Pelodiscus sinensis: one gene and its partners. The protein of the gene in region 1 interacts with the protein of each later gene in a pairwise test. Links are inferred from orthologs where the notes say so. Each region holds a gene or a part of one and is shown in the gene's direction. Other genes may lie near its edges. The genes, in order: PRKG1, IRAG1 and FAM124A.

The links.
Region 2: the proteins of PRKG1 (region 1) and IRAG1 interact in a two-hybrid assay, tested with the Homo sapiens proteins (2 studies listed by BioGRID). The link is inferred for Pelodiscus sinensis from reciprocal best matches to the Homo sapiens genes PRKG1 and IRAG1.
Region 3: the proteins of PRKG1 (region 1) and FAM124A interact in binary tests that used the Homo sapiens proteins (3 or more experiments, as listed by UniProt). The two-hybrid records come from large-scale screens. The link is inferred for Pelodiscus sinensis from reciprocal best matches to the Homo sapiens genes PRKG1 and FAM124A.

Annotation. Positions count from the first base shown.
Region 1 is NC_134718.1:37,896,848-37,904,001, reverse strand, and holds the start of PRKG1 (cGMP-dependent protein kinase 1), read left to right. Parts: upstream 1-4,149; 5' UTR 4,150-4,445; coding exon 4,446-4,756; intron 4,757-5,960; exon of another isoform or gene 5,961-5,983; intron 5,984-7,154. UniProt on the Homo sapiens protein: Serine/threonine protein kinase that acts as a key mediator of the nitric oxide (NO)/cGMP signaling pathway. GMP binding activates PRKG1, which phosphorylates serines and threonines on many cellular proteins.
Region 2 is NC_134714.1:104,874,311-104,881,572, forward strand, and holds the start of IRAG1 (inositol 1,4,5-triphosphate receptor associated 1), read left to right. Parts: upstream 1-4,190; 5' UTR 4,191-4,313; exon of another isoform or gene 4,314-4,390; intron 4,391-4,468; exon of another isoform or gene 4,469-4,589; intron 4,590-7,262.
Region 3 is NC_134711.1:291,034,920-291,042,140, forward strand, and holds the start of FAM124A (protein FAM124A), read left to right. Parts: upstream 1-4,190; 5' UTR 4,191-4,337; coding exon 4,338-4,396; intron 4,397-7,221.

The DNA of each region.
Region 1 (7,154 bases):
AGGTGGGCCAATATAACATTAACATATACAGCATTTGATCCTTACAGTAGCACCTGGAAGCCATAAAAGATCTGGGAGTGACCCAGTGACTGAGAATCCTAGGGAGTCAGGAAAACCCAGGAGAATAGAGGAAGCCTGTATAGAAAACAGCAGTGAACAGAGAAGCTTCCTAGGAAGAAGGCAGTTATCAGGAAGCCAGTGGTGGTGCTAGCTTACTGATTTCAAAGGCCAAAGCCTAGAAGGATGAAAAGGGCTGGGGGGGGGGGGGGGGGGGGGGGTTAAAAAAACAGTGAAGGGACAGCCTGCTGTTCTTCCTGTGCCAGACAGAGAGCAAAGACTAAAGACAGCTGAAGTCTGAAAGTAAAAAAGGCTGGTGCCTGCTGGCTTTAAGCAGGAACCAAAGGCTGAAGGTGAGGGAGTGGTGAAGAAACTTCGCCAGCCCTGTAGGTGTCGATAGATTGCTGGACGTAGAGGAACCACCAGAAATGAAGATGGGTAGGGGATTCTGTGGGGGTTCTTGCTGGGAAGAGCAGGGTTGTATCCACTTGAAAGAGCTGAAATGGCTGTCCTGGTACAAGGATGGGAGAAGACTGCCCCAGTTCGCCACAGCGTGGTGAGTGCTGCTGGGGCTGTGTCAGAGAACCAATGTGGTCAGGGATGTTGCAGTTGTATTGGATGTGTTCCCTAAATTACAGTGCTGGGATTTCTTATGCACGGGGTTTGCCTATCTAATCTATTAACTCCACATGGGCTCTCCTCAAGAAATGCAAAAAAGGGTAGCAATGGTGTCCTTAGCCTCTGTTTGTCAGAGGCTGGAAATGGGTGATGGGGTGGGATTGCTTGATTATTTTTTCTGTTCATTCCATCTTGGGGCACTTAGTGCTAGTCACTGTTGGAAGACAGAATACTGGGCTAGATGGACCCTTGATCTGACCCAGTATGGCTGTTCTTATCCTCACTGAATTCATAATTAGCCCTGTGGCATCCTTAGGATATTAGAAAACAAATATGGTTGTTACTTTTTGCTGCCAACAGTCGTCAGAGTCGATCACCTGGCAAGATTTTGTTGATAGTAGAAGTGCTTTGGGATTCTTTGGTTTTAAAGTTATATCTATTAAGATTATTTCCGTGTTTATTTGTGGTGGTGTTTGTTGTAATTTGTCACTCAAACTGTCTTTGGATCTCAGTTCCCATGGCTACCACAGGAGCATGTCCTCTATCCATAAGTATGTTTTTTATTTTAGAAAGAATTTAGAGTAATATGACCAGTTTCATTGCTCATAAATATGAGCAGCCAATAACAATGGTTTAAGTGACAAAGTAAGCAGAAGATGTGCAAGCTTTTATAACCATTGATGTCAACCTATTTCAGAGCTTCATGTGTATGACGCTATATAAAACACATCAGTCCTGACCTTGTGCACCTCTGCTAGCTTTATTGATCCAGTGTAATTTCATGGATGTCTTTCCTTTTTCATGTAACATATAGCTATCTAGATTGTAGGTTATGCACTGTAAATGAAATCTAAATAAAAGAATTATGTGGTGTTATTTGCTACTCAAAAGTTATGGATCAATTTCCACTTTGGGTAACAATTGTATTGAAGTCTGGGCTTCAGTCAGCAGCCATACAATTTCATTATCTAAGTGTCAGGGTCTAATCTGATTGGGGGAAAGAAAGAAAAAATAAATATGTTGATTTAAAGAAAGGGAAATAATACATCAATTTTAGCATTCATTTATATTTTGTAAACAGCAAAAGTTATGCAGATGCACTCATCTTTATCATAGAAATATTGTGATAGAACCCAAACAATTTACTAAGATGAAGTGGGAGAAAATATTCAGCAAATTGGGTTCTGAACTTAAAATGTTTACACAGTGTCCATATTTTGAAAAGACAAATGAAATTGTATCACTCTTGGTTTAAAACAGCCCAGCTAAAAGATTTAAACTGCTGCATATTTATTTGAAATGGTATTTGAGCATTGTGTAACCCAAAATTGTTTGTTGAAAAATATACAGAGAATCAAATACATGCAGGAAGCTGCAGAGACTCATCAAATATTTATGGTAATGTTTAGTCCTTTAAAACAATCATTTTGTACTATAAGGGATTTAGAACGTGGTTTTTTTAGATGTTCATCTATCTATATTATAGAGACTATCAGCAGGTGGAAAGCTGGGGCTGTAGAGTCACTCAAGTGGCATTACTCAACAACAGAAAAAGATAAAAACTGGATCCGTCTGCATTTTGAAGTATCTTGTATATTTTCAGTACAAAGCCACAACTGGGGAATGAATCTAGTTACTCCTACTGCATTAAAAAAAGTTTGGACCCTGACACATCTTACTACATGAGTGCTGCAACCATTCATTTGTGGAACCCTACAGCTGCCACCTTCTGTCAGTTTTTGGTCCTCCCTCCTCCCAATTCTAATGCCTAAAAGACTGAAGAGCTAGTCTAGTATCCTGACAAAAAATTAATCTTGATGCTTTCTGGTACATGAAAGCTGCAACAACTCAGATCCAGCATCTGGATTCACCTGGATCTTGTGTCCCTAAAACCCCTAAATTCTATAATTGTGATAGAAGGCCCTGCTGAATCCTACCTCTTTTTAGCACTAACACCCCACCTCATATTATCCAAACCTATATCACTGCTTCTGCTAGACCAGAAGATCTGTGCATCAAGTACATCATTTGTAAGACAAAACTAAAATGCACACTTTACACCTGGGTTTTGCTAGATCCAGAAAATAGTCTATTGTATGTCAGGTCCTCTTTCATAATAAACATGTGATATATATCGTGGCATATGAACATGTGAAAATCCAAATATGCACATGGATCCAGGAGGATATAGCCACTTTTTTCACTTACATCTTGGGGATATATGGCCAAAGGCTTTTGTGACTTTACAGGACACTAGAAATTGAGTGAGTGTGGTCAAACTGGCAGAATCAAAGTGCTAGGTCCTTCACACTGTTCTACTGGAATTTGGTTGGATCTTGCCTTTCCTGTGTTAGATGAACTCTCAGTCTCTTTTGACATTGTGAGATATGGAAGATGAGAGATCAAAGCTGGCTGGATCCAGCTATTGGAACCTATTTTGTGCTCTTCATCCACTGTACTGCAGCGGGGTCTAGGGATTTTTTGAGCACTGGAGGAAATTATGCTTGTCCTCCATAGATCTAGTGGGATTTTTGGTATTGCTGCCCATCACTGCCAGGATCCTAGTCCCATCCACTTATTTTTGAAACATCCGTGTGTAACCGAGAGGCACTGAGACCATTGCCACGGGAGAGTGAAGTCTGCTCTATAGCTAAGGTTGTAGGGCAGACTTCATCATGCTCCCATGTCAGTGGTCTCAGTGCCTCTGGGTTACACAAGCCACAGGCTCTGTCAGGGTGTGCCTGTTTAGAGAGACAATAGGAGCAGTTATATCAGTTCTGGGTCCGTGCAGTGCAATTTGGGTGAGCCAAAGCCTGGCAAGGTCCAGGAAGAACCCCCAGTCACACCGCAAACAGCATTTGAACCCCCAGTCACACCGCGAACAGCATTTGAATAGCAGTCTGGTTCAGGCTGAATGATTCCTTAGGTTTCTTCCAAACTTAAAACGGACTTAATGGCGTGTGAAACCTTAACAATAGATACCTGCTTAGTCTAATAGTTGTAATTACAGTGAATTATTGGATAAGCTGTTGGCTGTAAAATCTGAATGCCTGGCAAAGGGGGAAGCGAAGCCATCCTACCCCAGCGGTAACTTTGTTGGGTGGCATCAGAAAACGGCGCAGATTTTCCTGCCATTGCTTTAGGTTTGGCAGCATTGTGATTTATTTATTCATGTGGGGAAGAGTGAGGGGTGCAGCCGGTTCTAATGCTGGACCTGCCCAGAAAACGGGGCCTTGCTGGAGAAATATTGAAGAGTCTGGAATTGCAAAGCTGCCGCCCCTCTTCCGAAGCAGGGTGGAGGGTAGAGACTCGGGGAAACTAATTACACTTAAAGTAGCCCTGCCCCTGACACAGTCCTAGGGAAAGTGCATGTGTTACCGCATCTTGCAGCCGCCCCTTTCTCTCTCTTCTCTTCCCCCCCCCCCCCCCCCCCCCGTCTCTCCCTCTCCAGTCTAGCCTGACGCAGGCAGATCGAAATCACCCTTAACAACCCAGCCTCCGGGAGAGTGGTGCTGGTGGGGTTCCGTTTAAGATTATGTCGCTAATCCTCCCTCCGTAGCTCTGCGCGGATCGCTGCCAAGCTCCCCCCGCCCCCGCGCAGGCTGGGGGCGTGTTTAAAGGGCTGGAGGAATCCGCCGGCGGCAGGTCGATCGGGAGCGATCGGCAAAGTTGGCTGAAGTGGGGAAGCTGCGGGTACTTCGGGGAAAGTTGCTGGGAGCGGGGGAGAGAGACAGGCTCCGGAAGCAGGAGCCCCTGGCCCCAGGAGGAGTATGGGCACTTTGCGGGATTTACAGTACGCGCTGCAGGAGAAAATCGAGGAGCTGAGGCAGCGGGATGCGCTCATCGACGAGCTGGAGCTGGAGTTGGATCAGAAGGACGAACTGATCCAGAAACTACAAAACGAGCTGGATAAGTACCGCTCGGTGATCCGGCCCGCCACCCAGCAGGCGCATCAGCAAACCACCACCACCTTGCAGGGGGAACACAGGACCAAGAGGCAGGCAATTTCAGCCGAGCCCACCGCATTTGACATCCAGGATCTCAGCCATGTCACCCTGCCCTTCTACCCCAAGAGCCCACAGTAAGCAGGGTTTAAGCGTTGTGTACATCCTGTCTTTGGTAGTTGAATGGTCTCTGTATTGTCTGTCCATCCACTTGTTTAGACGGGTCCTGCACCTTCTGCTTTCCATTTCTGTGCTCATCCTCAGAAATGCCCCCCCCCCCAACCACGCTTCTCTGGGCTGCCCACATTTCTTCAGCCACGGTAGCTGCACGCATCCGTATCCCGCTGTGTCTCTGTCCAATGTCCAGGTATTTCCGAGCCCACTGTGAGCAGAGTTCCCAACCCGTGAAGGGGGAAAGCGCATTCTCCCTAGCGCTGGTGTAACCTTGCCCATCCAAACAATAACCCCGCTAACGGCAGCGTCACCATCAGACTGTCTTTTCCAATGTGGTACGTTCTTATGTCTGGCTTTTTTGTGCTCTTGGTCTCTGCGCTGAGTGTATCCGCAGTGCTGGGTGTTTGACATGTCAACTATATGAAGCAAAATAGAATTTACTATCCGGATTCGGGTGTAGGCTGATCTATCACAAACTGATTTTCTCCCCCGACAAAGGTGTTGCTAATCCCTGAGCTGATGTCAGTCAGCATCCAGAAAGGCAAATCCAATCTCTTGCTTTTCTTTCTTTTTTTTAAATTTGGGACTGCATCTGACAAGTGTGGGGGTTTCAAAGGTCTTACTTGATACAAATCCACATGTCACTAGTTCCACAGCGTTCTGCATAACTGCTTTGCACGTTTCCGGGGGCTAAGGATGTCTCTGAGCTGTGGCTGTGGGCAGGGAGCTAAGTTTGCACATTTTTTAGGTTTTAAACACCGCCCATTGGGACGCACAACTTGGATATAAAAATTGGCTCTTGGCTGTAGCTTAGCAGCCAAGCCCACCGAACTACTAGAGGAGATTTACAATATAAATCCGGTCCACTACACCTGCTAACTTGCATTTAAATCATCCCCCCAGGCGGTGATATAACTGACATAACCAAGGAAATTCCGAGGTTAAAAGTTGCATGGCATGTATGCAGTCAGCCAATTATGGCTGAGGATTAGAGCACATGCTGTTATGCGCTGCTAGGAAACTCCTACGCTGTGCCCAACAGGAGTAAAGGGCTGAGGGGAAGAGAAGGGTTTGTTTCTTTGCTCTGTGCTTTGTTTCCATCCTTAGCAGTCTTTGCTGTCCTCATCTTCTTGTAAGGAGAGGCTGCCGTAACTGTCACGTGACAGAAAACTCGGCAGTCCTTTGTTCAGGTGTGTAAGAAAGTGCTTTTCTTGGTGTTCGTCATGCAGCATAGCCGCTTCTGTCTGGGCTGAGAGGAGGTGTTCAGAGTTTAATGGGGCAGGAACCATAGGTGGACGCGAGTGTTGTTTTAGAAGGTTTATATTGAGCTCCAAGAGCAGTTTTTGTGTGTCAGTTTAAGAAAGTTTATGGGGAAATCCTAAATTTTCACTCCGTTTCCAGCTTAGTCCTGTATCTTAACTGTATATATTGGAAGACTTACGGGTGTATCTAATGAGGTATGTGGCCTTGTCTACTTATGCACATTTGGACAAAGTGACGGTCATAATATGATACTTCCCTGGTTATAGTATAGTTCTGTGCCATTTGATTGGATTTTATAAAGGGCTTTAGAGTAATGAACATAAACCAATTAAATGTATCTAAAGATAACATGAGAAATAATGACTTTGGGGTGAACAATGCTCATCTCAAGATACGAATGAAAAATAAAACCGATCAAAGTCTTGCTGGCAGTGTAATATGGCGTGAAAGGCAGAGGAAGTGGTGGGTGGAGTAATAGGTGTGAGGAGTTCCTTACCTGACATGCAGCCCAACTACAAGAAAATCGGGGACCATCCTAAAGTTGAGACCAATGCGCAGGTTTCCACCAGATTCATGTGCTGAATAATGCTCTGCCTACCTTCAGGTTACTCTTCCTCGCTCTTGTGAGCTTTTCCAGAAGGAAAAAAAGCTGCTCCAGTGACTTTTGCCACTGGGCTGTTTTGGTTGCCAACACAGTAGATGAAGGGACAATTGTAATAAATCTTTCAAGCTTTAAATAAAATTGGGAAGTCATCTATTCTTGTTTCACATTTGCAGCCACAGACTATGCAAGTTGGTTTAAGTAAGAAAACCGAGTACATCTAGAAGAGAGACTATATCCTCCATAGAGTGTTTAATCTTTTTCACTATCCAATACATGTTGATATGTTTGGTCCCGTAATCACGAGAAAGCTTGTATACTTTTAAATTCATGGTTTATATCAAAATACCACACGTATTTCATGTACTATCGGCACAATTACTTTAAAAGAGTCATTTTGGAAATAAATGTTTTTAATTTTGTTATCAAAAGGTTTGCAGTTCAGTGTACTAACTTAGCATATTCTCCTAGACCATAAGGTGAGTGGGAATTTGTGT
Region 2 (7,262 bases), on another chromosome or scaffold:
TTGATTTAATTTAATGTTGATTTTTAGCTTTTCACAGTTTAAAACTTGGTTTAGGAAAATATATGAATCTCTGTTCATGTACTGTTTATTTAATTCATCAGTAGATTAAGGGACAGAGTTTTTGTTAGGGGGCTGGATTTTTTTGAGGAAGAACGTATGGAGTCTTTTTGAACTGATGGATGATGTACTTTCTGGCTATCTCAGTCTGTTCTTTTGAATGACTCTTCACACTGTGCTTGGCTCTTCTCTCCATTGATTGTGTCTTTGTGGGCTGCAGCTGACACTCTTACACAGTCTGGGTCATTGACTGTCCCTGGCCTTTCTCCATGATGTTCTAACTTTTTGTTCTCTTCCTGAGTTTACTATCCTTGCTTTCTGAACCCATAAAATGTTCTTCCCTTCTCCTTTATACTCCTTATGCCCTTTGAACAATCTCTGCCCTTTTTGTGCTTCCTAAGCCTGATTTATCCCTTGCTTTTCTCCATGTTGTCTCTGTGTTGCTCATGGCTTTTTCAGCTGTTTTCTGACTGCTTTGTTTTACATTGGCATTTACAGACTCTCTCCCCATTTGATATACGTGGATGTGCTACAGTTATTAAGAAGTGAGTGATATTATCTCTGACTCCTGAAAGGCCTCTGTATGGCTTCCAATAGACACACAATTTTTGCATCTCCTCTATGTGGTTTTAGGTGTGGGCTCCAGTGTGTACTTCAGTAAAGTTCTGGTTCAATTTTTTACTACTAGGTCATTAGTATTGTTTGGTATGACTAGCTCTGAGCTATCCTGATATTTGTTACAGCCAAGTAAGGCAAAAAAAAAAAAAAAAAAAAAAAAAAAAAGCGAACTCCTAACAAGAAAGAATAACTTAGAAAATACAAGAATAGAACAATTTTTATAGCAGTTCCAGTAGCTAAATACTAATGATGATTGACAGTCTCATTGAGAAGGTGTAAAAATGGGACCAGTGGACCCAAAACTACAGGAATACACCCAGAGTATTTTTTCATGCCCAAGAGCATGGAAGTATCCATTGTAGGGCAAAGGTCCTAGAACTTTACAACTGCTCTCTGGAGATGTTATTTTTAAACATCAAATTCTAAAATTCATTTAATAGAATCCTAATTTAATATCAGAATGTTACACTACTGCGCAACTGGAGGGTTTTTGCAGTAGAAAGATTTCTCTATTCTTGGTTCTGTGCTTGCAAAAGATAGGATCTAGTCTTTCACAAGATGTAAACAATTTCTCTGTGTTTTTACCATTGCATTACAGAGAAAAAGTTTCAGAAAGAAGGTAGAGCCAAATGGTAACAAGTAGAATAATTAATACTTCATACTATGCCTAGCGTCTTTATTCTTAAACTCCTGAAAATAGTACAGGAATTTATTTGTAATTTTACTAAGAACTGCTTCTTTCAGACATTACTGAGGAATTTTCATCTTTACACAAATAAATCAAATGTTCAGATGAATTTAATCATTATTTTCTTCTTCTCGTCTCCCAGGAAGTTAATTTTTTCAAATAGCAGATTCCAAATTAAGATTCAGTCTATGCCAAATTAGAGTCATTGTTGGTCAGAAAATAATTTGTGCCTAGAGTTGCTTCCAAGAAGTAAAGACCTTGGGTGAAAAACTCCTATTAACTTCAATGAATTTTGGGTCAGGCTTAGCCAGAGACCAGAGCTAGAACAGTTTTATATAATAGCCAGACAGGTTTTATGTCTGTCAGAGCACTATTGAGCAGAATAGAAATTTTACCCTAAATCAACAGAGAAAATGTCAACTAGAAAATGTCTTTGGGATACAGAAAAATAGAATGCTCACTGAAAATGGCACAAAGTAGGAATAGATAGTTTTTATTCCAAGGAATATGTTTTTGAATATTTAAAAAATTGAGTGATTAAAAGATGTCAGCAGCAAAGAGGTAAAGAAATAATTTCGTATTGCTGGGGGAATGTAATTAGGAGCAATAACAGTATTTTGTATTTATAGGGTGATTTTATTCTGAGGACAGCAGTGGAGTGTCATGAAATTAAGCAATTGTAAATTTAGGCTAAATACTATAGAATAGTCTCTCTCAAAAGTTGCAGGCAACAGGGGTGCTGGGACTAAGGGTGCTGGGATACAACGGCACTCCTTGGCTTGAAGTGGTTTCCATCATTTACATTTCATATCATTTGACTAATTTAGAAAACTTATAGAGGCTGTGTCTACACTGGCCGCCTATTACGGAATAGGCATGCAAATGTAGCACTTTGGAAGAGGCAAATCCGCGGAGGATTTAAATATCCCCGCGGCATTTGCATTTTCATGGCCGCCGCTTTTTTCCGGCTTGGAGATAACCTGGAGAAAAGCGTCCAGACTGGCGCGATCCTCCGGAATAAAGCCCTATTCCGGAGGATCTCTTATTCCTACTTGCAAGTAGGAATAAGAGATCCTCCGGAATAGGGCTTTATTCCGGAGGATCGCGCCAGTCTGGACGCTTTTCTCCGGCTTATCTCCAAGCCGGAAAAAAGCGGCGGCCATGAAAATGCAAATGCCGTGGGGATATTTAAATCCTCCGCGGAATTGCCTCTTCCAAAGTGCTACATTTGCATGCCTATTCCGTAATAGGGGCCAATGTAGACGTAGCCATAGAATGTTCTGTCATGTGTTTTCATCCTGGGGGTGATTGACCAAAAGTGTCAGGGGCTCATGACCACATATTCCTCCCCATATTACTAAATGGGACAAGGTTCCTGCATAGATAGGGAGTCTCAGTCTGGCGAAGTTTGAAAACCACTGTACCAAAAGACACACACACCAGCACAGGATGGACTGGATGACCTACTGGATTTGTAGTGTGATATTTGTAGAGGCTTTGGTTATGGACATGATCAAAAAATCTAGAGGACAGCATGGGGGAAAATCACAAAGGAACATAGAAGATAGGAGAATTTAGAAGTTAGCTCCCTCTTCTGTTACTAACATGGCACTTTTTTATGCTGTCTGAACACAGATTTAGTTTCTTTAAGAATTATTCAGTTAAATTGTCTTTTACCTCTGAGAAAAAGTGCTTTATAATTTAGTGTCTTCTTATTCATCCAGTCCTTAATGTCACTGAGTCACAATCTATTCCATTCACTCCACCAGCTATGCTACATTATGATCTGGCCACCATTGTTCATCTCACCCACAAGCATCTTCATGTCTTCTTTTATATTATCCTTTTCACGTGGAACATGTTTTCCAAGTACATTTACAGAGTTCCATGTTCCTCCTTAAAATCCTTTCTATCTGACCCACTTCTTCCATGATACGCATGGTCAGATGTTGCATGATACTGGCTACGAAGATGAACTAATAGTGATTCATTATTTCTTGTTCACTTAAATTGACTCCCATTATGCAGTCTCTAAATTTTACACCTAGCTAGCATGTACAATTTTGTATTTTTAATTCTGTCACAAGTATCTCCCCGCCCACCACCTGCTCTTCTGCTGCATTCTATGCTTCTTGCATTTCATATAATAGGGCTCTGATCCTGCTTGGGATCCTCAACTGAGTACTGCTGTAATATTAAATAAATAATCAGTAGTCCAACAATTGGAGGAAAACCTGTGTGCTATCCCAGAGTTAGCATCTGTAAAATTACTGCTTTATTCCTTTCTTTCTCTCTCTATAAAACACTGAAAAGAAAACAATTTACTATGTTGTAGGGGCACAATCTTCCCCCCTGCAAGATGTGAACAGCCCTCCCCCCACTTTAATGAGAGTTACTCAGCTTCTGTGAGGTGAATATAGGGGTCATTATTGGAAAGAGGCCAATGTTCTTTACAAGCTCACATGCCTTTTTAGTGGGTCATCTTATTTAGGCAGCCTCTGACCAACCAAAGGAAAAACTTCTTCAAATTACATTTATTCTTGTAAAACTTCATAGTAAGGGTTAACACATTAAGATGAAAATCATATTTCATCAGTTCTTCCTACTTGCCTATTTTAATCAGTTATTCAGAAATGAGTAATAGAAGCTCAGGCACAGAGAGCTCAGAAAATGCTAATGTGGTGTCTCTGTCTTTTGCTCTCAGAGGCTTATGCCAGAATAGAGAAAGCCTTTTATTCCACCATTCTGTGGAGTCAGAAGAAAGGCATATTCTGAAGCATTAGTTTCAATTGAAACTCACCCACTGTTAGTCTGCTGACTGTCTTGGGTCTCTGAGTTCGAAACTGCTTCAGCTCAGTTAATAGAGCCAGCTGTAATATTGACCTTAAATGGTAAAAGCTGTGAGAGTGAGGCCCGCCTGAGGGGAAAAAGAGGAATAACTCAGTTTTAGGTAAGTAATCTATGAAACCAAGAATAAACTGTCTCCTTCAGCTGTGAAACAGAACGGAACCAGTTTATTCCTTAAAGGTATAGTACCTCATTGTTATGATACCGCACTTTCTTGGGTAGCTTCCCCCCCACCATTAAATTGACTGTGTGTCAAAAAATGGGTGTAGCAAGACATTGTACTTAACAAAATCTGGTTTTTCTTGCATACTCTTTTGGGGAGAGACAAGTATGCTAAAGAAAAGCCTGTTCTGGTTAGATAGAAGTTTGCTAAAGAAAGGTAGGTTAATCAGTAATGAAATGTAACCCTGATTCAGAATAATTGGTAACTATACTGTGCTGTTTGAGATAATTTTAAACATTTGTCTATAAACATTTAAGGGTAGTAAATTATTAATTCTTTTTGTTTAAAATACAGTTGTATGATCGGTTTCCTTGCATGCACTCTTTTAACAGTGTAGGCACCAGAGTTGCTCATTTTGATGGGTTACCTAGCTGTCTCCTAAAAGACAGGTTCCAGAGATGTTTCTTGAGACATTTCTTTCTATAGTACATGTTTGCTTTTAAATACCAATAAGAATAAACAAATGCTGATAATTTATAACTAACTCAACTTTTTAAATTCTTCATTATCCATAGAAAATAACCCCCTACTTTGCAAATTTAAGTATCTTAAAATTCTAAGTTTTTTTTAAAAAATCACAGTATTATAGGTTTCTGATATTTTTAAATTTGTTTAAGTCTGTACTGAAGCTGTTGATAGTTACATTTCCTTTATTTGGTAAATTAAAAAAATATATACTTCTTGTGATTTAAAAATATGTATGTTAAGAATTTTTTCAGAAAGAAATAAGTAAATAAGAATTCAAATCAGGGTCATGACTGTTCAGGCCAGTCATATTAATAATATAAGTGCTCCTTAGTGAATTAGATTTCAAGCTTCTAAAAAATAGCCTGATTTCACCTGGTGAAAAATTCCTGTGCAACGAAGTACACATGATGAGAACAGATACCTACATTAGCTTCTGCTGCATGTTATTTAGAAAAAGCATTTTTGTTCTGATTAGAGACAGAGTTCCTGCAAAGAGCTGCTACATTTCTTTTTGACACTGGTACGTGTTGTATACACCTTATGTGAAAATTCATTACATCCAGTTTCAAGATAATATAGCACATGTTTCTTAATTGCTTTAACATTCAGAGCCAGTTACAAATATTATTATTTACTTCACTGTTATTTTTCTCTGAAATTTGAGTCTTTCATTAGCGGCTATTTTTCCACTAGTTCATCATACTTTAAATCATTCATAATGTTGACTTGCATCTACTGGTATCCTAAAAATAAATCTCCAGGAAATGTAAATGAATATATTTATTAGGTTTTATAATTAGGCTACTTGGATGAAAGGAAATAACAAAATGCAGCCTGCAAAATGCAGATGAATATTGTGGGTGACACAGTCAGAAACAATCCAATACATTAGACAAAGAAAATGCTGTACTATATATAGGGAACTTCATTTTTCAAAACATTCCAGTGACTAAGGGCCTTATTCTGATCTCTTAGACTTATATGTATCTTCATTTGTGGGCCACATGGATGTGATTTCAGTGTGTATGATGATTCACATTTGTCAGTCATACGTAGCTTTGGATCATTTGGATCATTGTTTATTAATAACTTCATATGGGGACTGGACTAATATCTGCTTTTCAGTTTTAAACAAGTTGTTATGCTTACACCTACGCTACATCTACATTGGCAAGATTTTGCGCAAATACTTTTAACGCAAGAGTTTTTGTGTTAAAGTATTTGTGCAAGACAGCGTCTACACTGGCATGTGCTTTTGCGCAAGAGATGCGCTTTTGTGCAAAAGCATCCATGCCAGTGAAGATGCTCTCTTGTGCAAGAAGCTCCAAGGCCATTTTAGCCATCGGGCTTTCTTGCGCAAGAAATTCATGTTGCCTGTCTACACTGGCCTCTTGCGAAAGAACAGTTGCACAAGAGGGCTTTTTCCTGAGCGAGAGCATCATAGTTCTTGTGCAAGAAGCCCTGATTTCACACATTAGAACATCAGTGTTCTTGCGCAAGAACTCCCCGCCAGTGTAGACAGGCAGCATGTTTTTGTGCAAAAGTGGGAGCTTTTGCGCAAAATCTTGCCAATGTAGACGTAGCCCTAGTGCAGAGCTAGAGCGGTATTTTTTGTTAATATCACATTTTATAGCAACTTGCCAGTGGGGCCAACAGACTCGTTGGGCATTTGTGTGTGTGTGTGTGTGTATGGGTGTTGGTGGTGGGGGTGTGTGTGTCACAGAAGGAGCAGATCCTCATCCAAAAGGAGCAGGTTTGGGGTTTATCTTCCCTAGGCAGCCTTCAGTGCTGCCCACAGTGCGCTGCACCTATCCAAGGCAGTCCCCAGCACTCCTGGAGTGTGTCATGTGGCTCTTCAGCAGTGATTTAAAGGGCCTGGGACTCCTGCCACTGCTACAGTGGCAGCCCCAGGATCTTTTGAATTGCTGGGCCCTTGTGCACTTGTCTTTTTTGCCCTCTCAGCTCACCCCCCTCATTTGTGGGCCTACAATTTGCCAGTTAGTGTTTTATCAGACATTATACATTGTAAATCAAGAAAGAATGTAACACTCAGAATGATAGTTGTTATAATTCCTTAATTAAAAACACTCATACTTTATATACAAATGCAGGTAGCTCTCATGCACTGATATTTCCTAGACCTCTGTGGTATCTGGATGCACTTTTCACTTAGTCTATTTTTTCAAGGGTCAGTGATCTCACAAATCCCAGGCCATGGTTCCATGGATCCAGGCACCAAGCAGAGAGGGGACTAATGGCTACTCAGTGGCTGGATACATAGGTCTAAAGATTTGGGGGGGGGGGGTGACAGTGGTCCAGTACATGGCCACAGCAGGAGGCTGCTGGTGCCCAGGGTTGGAG
Region 3 (7,221 bases), on another chromosome or scaffold:
TAAGGAAGAAGTGGGGCAGAATCTGTCCCTTAATATTTAAATGTATAAATATTGTAATGTATGGATGTGACATCCCCTGGATAGTGCAGGATTGCTCCTTATAGGACTCTGTCTAGTACTTTATCCAAACTTTGAAGAACAGACTTCAAAGAGAAACTGCTGAGCTATAGTTCATCTGCAAATTTGACACCATCAGTTTAGGATTAAACAAAGACTGTGAATGGCTGGCCAACTGCAAAAGCAGTTTCTCCTCTCTTGGTGTTCACACCTCCACATCAGCTGCTAGAAGTGGGCCTCATCCTCCCTGACTGAATTGACATCGTTATCTCTAGCCTTACTCTTGATTGGAACTCTTTTCTTATGCCTGTATATTTATACCTGCCTCTGGAATTTCCACTACATGCATCTGATGACGTGGGTCTTTGCCCATGAAAGCTTATGCTCCAATAAATCTGTTAGTCTATAAGGTGCCACAGGACTCTTCATCGCTTTTGCAGACGGCTACCCCTCTGATACTTTATCCAAACTAGTTTTTACTAACTCAGTGGAAGGGGAAGGGGACATCAGTGAACAGAGCTTATATTGTATATAAGCCTTCAGGCCTACCAACAGAGGGGGACAAAAGAGACAACTCCCCCAGGGTGTGGTGAGTCAAAAGGTCACAGGGCTCCTGGCCACCACTACCACTGCTGCTACTGTGGCAACAGCAGTGACTGAAGCCCTAGGCACTTTAAATTTTCCCACAAGCCCTGGTCAGTGCAATCCAAACAGCGCTAATTGCTGGCAGGGAGTGGGGGCACAGTGCAATGTGGGTTCAAGTGGCTCTGAGGGTATGTCTACACTACAGAGTTAGTTCGAACTAACTTTCATAGGCGCTACACTAGCAAGTCCACATTGAGTGGACCCTGAACAGGGCTTAAGGATGGCCGGAAGCAGTGCCAGCAGGGCATCAGAGGAGGACTTAGAGCGTGGAGCTGCTATCTCAGGCTAGCCGAGGGCTGCGCTTAAAGGGACCCGACCCCCACCCCGGACAGACAGTTCTCAGGGTGCCCCGCTTGCAAAGCAGTCCTGGCTTGGATTGCCCGGAGTACCCACACTGGACACATCACACCACTCGGCCATCAGACCGGCTGCACTTGCCACAGGCTGCCATCTGGGGAGAGAGGGCAATCGGGGGGCTGCAGGAGAGCTTCCACCCCCAGAAGCCCGCAGAGCCAGCCCAGTCCTCCCCATCGGGGGCTCGTACCCCATTCCTCCCTCACCTCCTTCCACTTACCCTTCCCTAGCCCCCCTTCTTATTGATGTACAAAATAAAGATAACGTTTCTTCCAACATTGACTCTGTCTGTATTGAACAAAACTGGGGGAGACTGGGAAAAGGAGGTGGGAGAGGGGAAGAGAAAGGCTGGGAGAGGGGAGGGCAACTAACATGATCAGGGGTTGGGAACAGGTCCCAGATGAAGAGAGGCTACAGAGACTGGGACTGTTCAGCTTAGAAAAGAGGAGATGGAGCGGGGACAGTATAGAGGTCTCTAAAAGCAGGGGTTGGGTGGAGAGGGTGCACACAGAAAAGTTCTTCCTGAGTTCCCATAAAGAAGGACTAGAGGACACCAAAGGAAAGGAATGGGTAGCAGGCTTCAAACTAGTAAGAGAAAGTTGTTCTTCTTCAGAAAGCAAATAGTTAACCTGTGGAACTCCTTGCTGCAGGAGGCTGTGAAGGCTACAACTAGAACAGAGTTTAAAGGGAAGTGAGATCAAGTCATGGAGGTTGGGTCCATGGAGTGCTATTAGCCAGGGGGTAGGAGTGGTGTCCCTGCCCAAAGTTTGTGGAAGGCTGGAGAGGGATGGCACGAGACAAATGGCTTGGTCACTGTCTTCGGTCCATCCCCTCCAGGGTCCCTAGGGTTGGCCGCTGTCGGCAGACAGGCTACTGGGCTAGATGGACCTTTGGTCTGACCCAGGACGGCCATTGTAAGCTCAGGGCTCAGGGTCGGGGGTCTCAGTGGACCCCCTTGATTTTCATGCACACCTGCTCCTGGGTGGCCAGGCTGGCAGCTCTCCTGCCCTAGACGGCCACTTTCCTGTGCCTAGTGCGGAGATCGTGGACGAGGTCCACGATGTCCGCACTAGCCCAGGAAGGTGCCCGCCTCTTGCGGTCCAGGGCAAGCTCCCGGGAGCCGCCAGCCTGGTCCCGGGAAGAGGGGGTGGGCTGGGGGACATCGGATGGGTGGCTCTGTGCCGTGCCAGTTGCAGGGTCTGCTGGCTGGGTGCTGGCAGGCTTGCACCTGGCACGGGCACCGTAGCCAGCCCGTGCCCCTTTAAGGGTTCCGGGGCCGGGAGGGGGGCATAGAGTTTCCCTGGTGTTGGCCAGAGTGGCCACCAGGGAAACCTGGGGAGGGCTAGCCTCCCACTAGTTCGAATTAAGGGGCTACACACCCCTTAATTCGAACTAGTAAGTTCGAACTAGGCTTAATCCTCGTAAAATGAGGTTTTCCTAGTTCGAACTAAGCGCTCTGCTAGTTTGATTCAAATTCGAACTAGCGGAGCGCTAGTGTAGCGGCTATGAATGTTAGTTCGAACTAACGTCCGTTAGTTCGAACTAACATTGTAGTGTAGACATACCCTTAGTTCAAAATAATTTCCTAGTGCAGACATTCCTTAAGGTGCCACAGGACTCCTTGTTGTTTTTACAGATACAGAGTAACACAGCTAACCCTCTGGGTACATCTACACTGCTGTCTAAAGTTGAGTAAAGATATGTTAGTTGTGTAGCTGAAGTCAAGGTAGCTTAACTTGGCTTTTGTCACTGTCTACCCAACAGGAAGTTGAAGGAAGAACACACTTCCTTCGACTTCCCTTACTCCCCGTGAAATGAGGGTTACCGAAGTCAGAGTAAGAAGCCCACTATTTTGAAATTATTTCGAAATAACGGACTTGCTGTGTAGATGCGCACTCTGTTATTTAGATATAACAAGTTATTTCAAAATAAGCATGCAGTGTAGACAAAGTCTCTGAGGGTGTGTCTACACTACAGAGTTTTGTCGGAAAAACAGCCGTTTTTCTGACAAAACTTCCCTTACGTCCACACAGCCATTGCATTCTTCTGCAAGAAAATCGAAAGAACAGAGGGGCTTTTCTGGCATTGGTAATCCTCATTCTATGAAGCCTTTTTGTGAAAGAGCTTTTTTGCAAAAAGGCATTTGTGGATGGGGAAGAGGGAGTTCTTTTGGAAGAAGAGGAAAAAACACAGGTGCCCCGGTGGCCATTCCGTCCATAGCAATCACAGCTTATATGCCAGAGAGCATCCATTCAGTCTGGACGCTCTCTTTTGAAAAAGCAGATTGCTTTTTCGATGCACTTTTGCAGTGTGGACACTCTCTTTCGGAAGACTTTTTTTGGAAGATCTCTTCCGAAAAAAGCTTCCTCCTAAAGAAGCCTGTAGTCTAGACACAGCCTGAGGCTTTACACTAGAGAAGTTACATGTTGCTTTAAGGCTGATTTTTTGTAACTAGTATCATTATACTGCTGTACACCTAACCTATATGCAATTTTAAAGGGCCTTATGCCCATATAACTTATTTCACTTCCTAAACCTGAATAAGCTCTACCATTCAATGTAAGCATCCTTATAGCTACATAACTGTGCTCACCACAGGGAAGTTATGTCTTTAACTAGTATGGCTAAGTTGACAAAACATCCTAATGTAGACATGCCCTTGATCCTTTGAAAAGCCCTGGCAATAATCCTTTCCATGTCATCCCAGCAGATCTCAAAGTACCCCAGGTCACTGAAAGGTAGCTCCTGGTAACCGGCAAAAGAGGGGGAAAGGGGAGAAGGCAAACTTCAGTCACAGCCACTGGAATTAAGCAGGATGGCTCCTTGGATATAGAATTTGTGTCATGTACTCCCAAGCGCGTGTGTGACACTCATAGATGTGCTTAAGAGGGCCTGGTGGGGAGCTTTTATCAGTGATGATGGCACCTGTGAGACAGACCCACTTCCAAAGCGTGGGGCCTTCTCCCCAGTAGAGCTGCGCCCCTTCTCAAGGAGCGCGTGGCTGCTGTAGAGCGGGCAGGCCACTGGGGGGTGCGTGGGGGGCGAGCCGCGCACAAAGGCGGGGAGGAGGCCGGGCCAGAGGAGCGGCGCTGACACCCGGCGGCGGGGCTGGCAGGGGGGCGGGCAGGCTCCCGCACACGCTCCGGCTGCCACCGCAGAGAGGAGCCCGGCGGCCTGCGCGGCGCAGCTCTGGCTCCGCACCCAGGGCGCTGGGGCTGCGGGAGGCGGCCGCAGCCAGCCGCGGGCAGGAGGCGGGGGATGGAGCAGCCCTGACGCCTGCCATGGAGCGGAAGGCGGGCGGCGAGGATGACTGCGTGGACTCGGGAGCCGAGACTGGCGGGTGAGTCCCGGGCAGGGCGCGGGCAGCGCAGGGGCTGGGGAGAGAGGCGGCGGCGCAGGACGGGGTGGGCGCGGGGGCCCCGATCCGGCTGGGGGAAGCCGGCTCCGCAGCCCAGGCTCTGGGGGAGGGAGAGCCTGGCCAGGGAGCGGTCCCCGCTTGCTTGGCCCGGGGGTGGCGGCGCTTCCCCTGCCCTCCCCTCTAGTGACACCTGCCGCCGCGGGCGCTAGAAAGCGGCTGGGCATCTCGGCTCTCGCGGAGGCGCGAAGGCGGCTTGTCCCGCCCGGCTCCACCACTGGGCGGCAGATGGGGTCGGGGGGGGGATCCGCTCCTAATCCTGCGTCTTGCTGGTTTGGGTTTCTTTTCCCAGCTCCCGCAGCCAGAGGGGCCGAGATGCTGCCGCACTTGTTGCGTTTCTCGGCTTCCTCCTTTCTTTTGTGCCTGCTGCAAGAGGCAGCCGCGGGTCCGGAGCTGCCCCCCACCCCGTCCACACACATACAAAGTCTGTTCTGTGGCTGCCTGCTGAGTGAAGTTTTGTACTGTCAGTGTTCAGTTGCCGGCTGGAAAAAAAGCGGAGCTGAATCTGGACTCAGTCCTAAATATTCAGGGTATTTGCTCCCAAGGTTTGGCTTTCAGTTAGCGCCAGGGCTGGATTACCCAATGGGCAGACTAAGCACGTGCTTAGGGCACAAGCAAAGCAGGGGCACACAAAAAAAGAGATTTTATGGTATAGTATTATTTTTATTTTGAATTTCATGGGGGGGGGCACCATGATCTTTTCAATGCTTAGGGCCTCTAAAGATCTTAATCTGGGCCTGGTCAGCGCACACAAAAGACATATCTGTAATAAGTCACCAATAATCATTACACGATGCTGACCCCAAGTGCCCACCTCAGTCCTCCCGGCTCCTTGTTGGCATGTATGCGAGTGGTGCTGTGTGAGAGGCCCACACAGACAAGGGAGGCTGCAAGCGCACAGCAGGAGCTCTCCAGGGATATGCACAGGAGCTCAAATATACTGTGCACAAGACTAGGAACAGCTGCAGGCAAAAAGGGGTCTCCTTCTAGCTGCTGCCTCCTCCTGCCCAGCTCCCCAAAGGACTTGGAGGGTTGCTCCACCTGTTAAGCCTCCTCTGTAGTGTCATGGGGAAGCAGGAAATAGTTCTCTCTCAGGCTAGGTCTACACTGCAATGTTATATTGGAAAGTTGCGTATCTTTTTCAGATTTTCTTTTGAAAGAGGCTTTTTCTACAGGGAGCCAAATGTTGAAGTAAAATGCTCTTTTGACACATCCCTTATCCTCGTAGAACGCAGTTTACAGGGATGGCGAAAGAGCACGTCCTCTTTTTTTGTTTTGTTTTTAAATGTGTTCCTTGGACGCGATGTTGCTTTTCTCGGATACCTCCAGTATCCCAAAAAAGGAAAGCGGTCTAGATGTAGCCTCAGAGAATCAGAGTGCCACACAATCTTAATGAATTTACCCTCACAGCACCCAGCTGTCCTCATCATCATATCCCCATTTTACAGGTGGGGCATCAAAAAGCCTACCAAGTGATTTGGCCAAGGTTACACAGAAAGGTTCTGGCAGAATCAGGAACACAACCAGGGGTGAAAGTAATTGCCAGAATTTACCAGTGGACTGTGGTCTTTGGCAAGGTGGGAGGTGGCTCTGGTCCCCAAAAAGGGCAGAGCCTCTAGTGGAAGGGGTAGGGCTGGGGCCAGATCCCCCCCCCCCCCCCAGCCAGCTCTTGCCTTCCATGGCAGCAGCATCAGCAGCTGGGAACTGTGGGGCTCCAGCTGTGATTTGAAGGGCATGGGGCTTCCAGCCACCATTGATGCGGTAACAGAAGCCAGGAGATCAGAGCCAGAGCCATCCCAGCCATAAGATGGTTCAGGGCGGTCGCCTCTGTCTCCACACTTTGGGGTCCCCCGAAGTCACCACCTCAGCCATCCTGTGGATGGGATCAGTGGAATTACCTGGGAGACCTGGCAGGGTGGCAGCAGGGGTCACATACCCCCACTCACTGGAATGGTGGGAGCTGGAGCAATCCAGCAGCCTGCTCCACTTTGCCTCATCACCCTCTCCTGGCCTGCTGCGCTCTACTTCACTATAGCAGCAGCAAGCAAAGTACCCCAACCCCAAGGCGCTGCTTCCTGACCCTGACCCTTTTAAATCACCGTGGCCCAGGGAAGCTGCCCCTTTTTGCTCCTCCCTCATTGGTTGCCCTGCCAATAGGATCTGGCAGCGCTGCTGGATCCTACCAGCAAAGACAGGGGAGCAACAGGGGCAGTGATGTTAAAGTGCTAGTGTGGGAACATTTTAACATCAGCCATGTATGAGCCAGGAGCAGTGGCCGATGCTTACTGGTATGCTGTACCAGCCCATACTGGCCCACTTTCACCTCTGAATAGAACCCAACTATCCCGAGGCTCAGTCTAGTGTTTTGCTCACAAGACAATTTTTTTTTCAAGTCCCCTTCTGTTCCTACTCTCATCCATTGTTGATGCAATGTTCAGTTCAGAAGAGAGCAGGCTGCTGGGGAAATTCTCTATCTCAGATGCTGCTGTCTTCTCTTGCCATCTGGCTATCTGTGGGGAGGACGGCTAATTCCTCAAGTGGAACTCCTGTGGAGGGAGCCATGGACAAGGGATTTACACCCTTATAATCTCTTGGTCTCACTTCCCTCCTCTTTTTAGACTGAGGGAGAGAGAGCATAGACTTTAGCCCTTGATGTCTCTTGGTCCTGCTCATCCTCTGGCTCCAACAGGACCAGAGGAAGCTGCCATCTCTCCATCATATTTCAGTTGTGCTAGATATTTTCTGGGTCC